Stegostoma tigrinum: one gene and its partner. The protein of the gene in region 1 interacts with the protein of each later gene in a pairwise test. Links are inferred from orthologs where the notes say so. Each region holds a gene or a part of one and is shown on either strand. Other genes may lie near its edges.

Evidence for each region. The genes of interacting proteins can lie anywhere in the genome.
Region 2: the proteins of rchy1 (region 1) and klhl41a interact in binary tests that used the Homo sapiens proteins (3 or more experiments, as listed by UniProt). The two-hybrid records come from large-scale screens. The link is inferred for Stegostoma tigrinum from reciprocal best matches to the Homo sapiens genes RCHY1 and KLHL41.

The regions. Positions count from the first base shown.
Region 1 is NC_081354.1:2,950,193-2,953,944, reverse strand, and holds the start of rchy1 (RING finger and CHY zinc finger domain-containing protein 1), read right to left. Parts: upstream 2,539-3,752; 5' UTR 2,491-2,538; coding exon 2,422-2,490; intron 1-2,421. UniProt on the Homo sapiens protein: E3 ubiquitin-protein ligase that mediates ubiquitination of target proteins, including p53/TP53, TP73, HDAC1 and CDKN1B. Mediates ubiquitination and degradation of p53/TP53; preferentially acts on tetrameric p53/TP53.
Region 2 is NC_081360.1:50,276,932-50,280,683, reverse strand, and holds the start of klhl41a (kelch-like protein 41a), read right to left. Parts: upstream 2,992-3,752; 5' UTR 2,862-2,991; coding exon 1,734-2,861; intron 1,413-1,733; coding exon 1,255-1,412; intron 84-1,254; coding exon 1-83. UniProt on the Homo sapiens protein: Involved in skeletal muscle development and differentiation. Regulates proliferation and differentiation of myoblasts and plays a role in myofibril assembly by promoting lateral fusion of adjacent thin fibrils into mature, wide myofibrils.

The DNA.
Region 1 (3,752 bases):
CTGCCTGTCTCCCACAAGCCTACAGTCCCTTATTGATCAACAATCTGTTTAACTCGACTACTGATACATTCAACAATCCAAACTACAGTGCTCAATGGCAAACCAAATTCCACAGGTCATGGCTTTGAGAAATGTCTCCTAATTTCTGTCCTCAATGGGAAAATCCTTATTCAGAAACTATATTCTCTAGTTCTAGATTCCCCTATAAATTGAAATATCCTCTCAACATCCAGCCTGCCACGTCCCCTCAGAACTGTACAAGTATCAACAAAAGGCTGTTGACTGATAAGGTGACATTTGAGACGATTCCTTCATTTGCAGAGGATACTAGGACTACATAGGGCACAGTTTAAAATGTTGGTATTTCCCATTTTGTAGAGTCATCTGGCCGGTTAAGCCTGCCCCACCATTTAATAAGATCATGGCTGATCTTTTTGAGACTCATCTCCACTTACCCGCCCACTCACCATAACCCTTAATTCCTTTACTGTTCAAAAATTTATCTAGCCTTGCCTTAAAAAACATTCAGTGAGGTAGCTTCAACCACTACACTGGGCAGGGAATTCCACAGATTCACAACTCTTTGCATGAAAAAGCTCCTCTTGGGCCTCAGTCATATATCTGCTTCAATATAAAGGAAAGCAATGCCCTCTAGTCCTAGTTTCACCTGCTCGCAGAAACAACCTCCCTGCCTCCACTTTATCTATTCCCTTCATAATCTTGTGTTTCTATAAGATCTCTCCTCATTCTTCTGAATTCCAATGAGTATAATTCCAGTCTACTCAGTCTCTCCTCATAATCCGAACCTCTCAACTCTGGAATCAACCAAGTGAATCTCCTCTGCACCCCCTCGAGTGCTCGTATATCTCTTCTCAAGTAAGGAGACCAAACGGCCTCACCAGGACCCTAGAGAGCTGCAGCATAGCCTCCCTGTTTTTAAACTCCATCCCTTGAGCAACGGCAGACAAAATTCCATTTGCCTTTTTAATAACCCACTGCACCTGTAATCCTACTTTTAGCGATTCATGTACAAGGACACCCAAGTCCCTCTGCACAGCACCGTGCTGCAATTTTTTACCATGTAAAACATAGTCCATTTTGCTGTTATTCCTACCAAAATGGATGACTTCACACTTATCAACAGTGTACTCCATCTGCCAGACCTTTTTACCACTCACCAACTATCTACATCCCTCTGCAGACTTGCAGTATCTTTTGCACACTTTGCTCTACCGCTCACCTTAGTGTCATCTGCAAATTTTGACACACTATACTTAGTACCCAACTCTAAATCATCCATGTAAACTGTAAACAATTGCAGTCCCAACACTGTTCGCTGCGGCTCAGCACTAGCCACCGACCAAACAAAATAAAAACACCCATTTACCCCTGCTCTTTTCTTTCTACTGGTCAACCAATCCTCTCTCTATGCCAATACATTACTTGCCTTCTGGAAATCCAGATACACCACATCCACAAGTTCCCCATTGACTACCATGCAAGTAATGTCCCAAAAGAATTACACCAAATTAGTTATACGTGACCTACCCTTCATGAACCCATACTGGGTGTTCCCAATGGGACAATTTATATCCAGATGTTTTCCTATTTCTTCCTAAATGATAGATTCAAATAGACTTATTCATGAACATATTCAATTTTTTAAAAACTCTAACAGTACCTACATCCACCACTACCTCCAGAGGTTCATTTCAAACATGAACCACTCCTGGTGTGGTAAAAAAAATTGTCCCTCATGTTTTTTTTAAATCTTTCTCCTCTCACCTTAAAAGTACAACCCCTTATGTTGAAATCTCTCACCCTGGGGAAAGACACCTGCTATTGACTTTATCTACAACCCTGGTGATTTTTATAAACCTCCATGGAGGTCACCTCTCAACCTCCCACACAATCCAGTGAAACAAGTCTCAGCCAATGCAGCCTCTTCCTTATATCTCAAACCCTCCCATTCCTGGCAACATCCTGGTAGAGCTCTTCTGAACCCTCTCCAGTTTAAATAATACCCTTCCTATAGCAGGGCGACCAGGACTAGGCACAGTATTCTACAAGAGATTTCTCAGAGGGTGAAGAATCTTTGGTTCTATGACTCGCTGAGGAAGAGAATTTCAGGGAATCCCTGCAGCATGGAAGTGGTCCATTCGGTCCATCGAATCAACACCAACCCTCTGAAACAGCACTGGCCCCGCGCATGGGGACACAGCCCGCACCTAATGCGATTTCTTGTGGTTTTAAACTTGAGGGGGATGAGGGAGTTCTCCTCGGCCAACACTATCGTTAAAGGTGGGGGAGGGAACCTGCAGTCTGGGATCTTCCTGTGCACTGATTAGGGTGGGGTGAACAAACGCAGGTATCCTCTCCTTCCCACCCAGATGTCCCGTGGGAGGTTGAGATCCCGCTTACCTGAAGCCTGCAGGAGCGGGTATAATGAGAGCATTTCAGGAGCGCGCACCCAGGCTCCAACGCCGCCATTAGGCCCCGTCACCTGGAGACGAATCGCGCAGCCGCAGTGCCGCCACCCCGCCGGCAGGGTGAAGGTGAAGGCGAAGGCGCAGGCGCAGGACCGGCCGATGGCGAGGAAACCCTGACGTTGTACGCAAACGTAAAACCGGCGGCGTGGAAGAATCATGGCAATGTGCGCAAGCGCAGGGCCGACGGCGTGGCGGAACCTGTACTGTGCGCAGGCGCGGAACTGGTTACAGTGAAAATGGATACAGAAGAGGGCGGGATTGATACATTGAATGGGAGAAGATTTTAGGTGTGTTAGGCTTTATCCAGTGCTGGGGAAAGATAAGGGTTATTCCTTTAGACTTACGTCCGTGTGGATAAAAACAAGATACTGGAAGTCTAAAATAAAGTTGTGTGTGGAATATTTCAGGATGAGACAGATTAGTGGCAATAGGACCCGCAGATGCTGTAGAATCTGAAATAACACAGTGTGAAGCTGGATGGACACAGCAGGCCAAGCAGCATTTCAGGAGCACAAAAGCTGACGTTTCGCCCAAAATGTCAGCTTTCCTGCTCCTGAGATGCTGCTTGGCCTGCTGTGTTCATCCAGCTCCACACCTTGTTAGTTGAGATAGATTCGTGATCGGTCAGGGAATGATGAATAATGGGGAAAGGGCAGAAAAATGGATGTGAGGAATGCCAGGTCGACCGTGATCCTGTTGAAATTCCGCAGAGTTTTGCGGAGCCGAACAGCCTATTTGTTATCATCCTTTGGTGTTATGCTTCTAATCACCACACTGTAGGAAGGACGTGTTTGCACTGGAGGGGTGCAGAGAAGATACCGCCCCCTCGATCATGACCCCACACCCGAGCACCAAACCATCATCTCCAACACCATTCACAACCTCATCACCTCAGGGGACCTCCCACCCACAGCCTCCAACCTCATTGTTCCCCAACCCCGCACGGCCCGTTTCTATCTCCTTCCCAAAATCCACAAACCTGTCTGCCCTGGTCGACCCATCGTCTCAGCCTGCTCCTGCCCCACCGAACTCATCTCCACCTATCTGGACTCCATTTTCTCCCCTTTGGTCCAGGAACTCCCCACCTACGTCCGTGACACCACCCACGCCCTCCACCTCCTCCAGGACTTCCAATTCCCTGGCCCCCAACACCTCATATTCACCATGGACGTCCAGTCCCTGTACACCTGCATTCCGCATGGAGATGGCCTCAAGGCCCTCCGCTTCTTCCTATCCCGCAGGCCCTACCAGTCCCCCTCCACC
Region 2 (3,752 bases), on another chromosome or scaffold:
CATAGATTAATCCATTATGTGAAACCACAGAGTGGCCATAAATCTTAAACGGGAATGCTTTGGATTCATTCCATTTTAGTTTGCTGAAAAAAAATGCATTTTTTTAAATTGTATTCATCATTCTTCAATGTTTACCTGTTTTAAAAATTACGTTTTTGTTCATGAATATGCTGAAAATTGCAGAAGGTGATTGCCTCAAATAATAGTGGAACGACACCTTTAAGTTTTAAAATAGCCTAAACAAGCCATTTCACAGTGCCATAAATACAAGGGCCGTACAAGTGTCATTTATCACTGACAATAATATTGCTGTCAATTGAAAAGACATTCTGCATACAATTGAGCAACGTGTATACATAAAATCAGATTTTTTTTTGGAAATGCACAGCAGGTTCTTGCAGCATTTGTGGAGAGGAAGCATTCATACAATTGTCCTGAGTGGTGGAAAATGAAAACTTGGAGCAACTTGTCTCTGGCTTTCCCAATATTGGAATTGAAATTAAATAACGTGAAATCTTTCGACACTACATTCGTTGAAAACTCACCTGAACTCAAAGCTAAACTCTAATGTGCAAGTCTAATAAAACAATGAACATTGGACACAGGGGATCTAAGTGTCTTGTTCAAAAACTGAACAACAGAGATGATATTGGGTCATCATTATCTGACGAATTTTCCTATTCTGATTCTAATCATGCTTTGTGAATGTCACATGACATACAAGTTACAATACTGAGATAACACGGTGTAGAGCTGGATGAACGCAGCAGGCCAAGCAGCATCAGAGGAGCAGGAAAGCGGAGACCTTAGGGTCTCGACCCGAAACGTTAGCTTTCCTGCTGCGATGCTGCTTGGCCTGCTGTGTTCATCCAGCTCTACATCTTGTTATCTCAGATTCTCCAGCATCGGCAGTTCCTACTATCCTTGCAACAAGTTACCATTGCAGTCTGTTCCCAGAACTGACTCAACCAATATGACGGTAGGTCTATTTAAATGAGCTAATGGAGGGTAAACTATTTTAGACGGGACCTATAATCTCATTGACAGTCCTTGTATTCTGACTGAATTTGATATGCTCACTGTTGGTATTAAATTATAACTGTAATGGCACTGAGTGGTATACTGTACAATATTTCTGTGAAAGCATGGTTCTGATTAACTATACTGGTTTGGAGCAGCATTTTGTTAGAAGTTGCTACAAAATAATTTAAAAATAACATTTTGTTAACATGCAAATAATCTGGATTTACTTACTTCATATCGTAGCAAAATACTGAATCCAATGACTGCTCGTTTGGAAGATCCTTGCCACCAATCACATAAAGAAAGTTTTCTGTTTCTCCCAGACCGAAGAGGCATCTAGCTGAAGGCAGCGGTGGCAAGCCATTCCATTCACTAGCGATACTGTCAAACTAAAGCGTCGGAAAAGCCAGTTTAATTGTGACCGATTCTCGATATATTTATATCAAACGTATTCAGAAATCCGATGAGATTTGATAGGAATTTGAGGTGGAGCACGCAATTCATAAAATTATCATATTTTGCACAATATCTATTTTTAAACAGCAGGGAAGAGACTACATTGAAATGGAAGTAGTTGCTTACATTTTTTAAATAAGTAAACTTGGAATGATTTTGAAAATTGGTGAACTAAATTAACAATTACAATCACGTTTTCTGAAACAAAGCTGAACATATTATATGATTTCACAGTTCGATAGATCTACGAGTACCTGATAGAAATAGCAGTGGTAGGGCTGTTCTTTAACTTCTTCATCCACGTACAACCCACCGACAACAAAAATTTGGTTTCCCTTTGTAACCAAACTAACATGGTTTTTGGGGATCTGATCACCCACTGCAACCAGAAAGCATTGATTTAGGTTTGGATCATATGCCACCGCCACTGTGTCATTAATTAACATGATCATTTCCTTGACGAACATGCCATGCCTGGGAATGTCATTCAGAAAACCAGGGAGCAGATCTTCGTCTCCTACATCGCCGTTAGCTAGATCTTCACCGCCTTCTCCTTTCTTTGCGCTCTTGTTACTACCTGCCTCAGGCTTGGGAAGTTTTCCTCCAAAAGCATCTTTAATCACCTGCACCTTCTTCAATAGATCTGGATTAGACTTAATAATGTCATTTTTTTCGACCTGGTCTTTGATATATTTCTCAGTCATGAGACGAAAACGAATGCAATCAAAGATTTCTCCTAAACTTTTGACCCTGGTCTCTTTGTCCTTCCGGACCCATCTTACTACAGCTTCAAATACAGTTTCTTCTTTCACCACGTTTAAAGCGTCATTCGCAATGATGCTGATAAGCTCATGAGAAGCCAGTTGCATAAAATCTTCATCATTACAGATTTGTTCAAAACGAGCGGACGCATATTCACGGGCAGCAACAGCAAGCCGGGGACAGTCCAGAAGGAGTCCTAGCCTGAATATCGCCAAACAGTTGCTAGTAGATAACTTTTCTTGAAGATAGGTGACACAGAGTGTGAAAACAGAGGGGATCTGAAAGCGGCTGGACGCAGCAAAAATATTTTGCACGTTCTCATCGGTCAGTTCTATCTCAGAGGAATACAGATACTTCAAGATCATATCCACGACACTTTCATCGACATCTTCCAAAACCACCTCACGTTTCTTTTCCTCACTTACATCTGAAAAGAAATACTCACGGAAGTAAGGGCTGCAAGCTGCCAGGATTAGTCGGTGGCAGGGAAATAATTTATTTCCCACCTTCAGGGAACAATCCACAAATTTGTTTTCATCCAGTAAATTTTTCAGTCCGTCCTGCAGCAGCGTGGTTTGGTACAGCCGAGATTCTTCCCTTGATTCTTTCCGAGGGTCCATGGTGAGGAAACTGCGAAGGCAGAGGGAGCGGGTAGCGTTCACTTTACTCGGGTTCGCCTGAAAAGGCAGAACGCAGTGGCTTGCCGCACTTGAAGAGTTTGTAATTTAACTCCACAGGCTAAATATAGAGACACCGTACATGCTGGAATCCAGGTTAACCAGTGTGGAATGTGGACCGCAATTTGGCAGCTGCTGCAGACGGAAAGAAACAACTGTGAAGGAAAAAAAAATTAACGTTTTGGGTCGGGTGACCCTTCCTCAGAACGGCAACTTAGTTTTTGTTCCTGATTTACAGCATCCACAGTTCTTTCGGATTTTATTTTTATGAAACAACCGTGACCAGCTTAGGAGTTAAACGGGATAGGCAATCACTATCGGGAGCGATTACTAAGGAAATTACATTTAGTTATTTTTATCATATTGAGACAGCGTCATGGCTAGTGTGTCTCACAGCTATGAATATCACAAATTACGGAATCAACCCTTCCACTAAATTCTCAAAGAGATTCTTCAAATCGCAACTCACTCATTCAGCTTCCACCATTTAATCACGTGTTTTTTTTGGGTTCTGATTCTATTTTTAAGAATTCCAAGGATCGATGTCAAAATTTTCAAAATAAATTTAATGGCACAATGTTATAGTCAAATTATGACTGCATTACAAGTTAGTACAACAGTATATAATCTCTCATACTGCCATTTTAAATCACACGTCTTCATATTATTTGCACATTTGAAGGGTATGATTTCGTTTTTATTATGGGTAGAATGGATTTCTTTGTCAAATATATCTATACTTCACAAATATTTCTTAAAAACAAAAGGTAATTGACGAATTTACATGAAATGGAAACAAAATCATTTCCCACAACCTATTTTGGAACTAAGAAC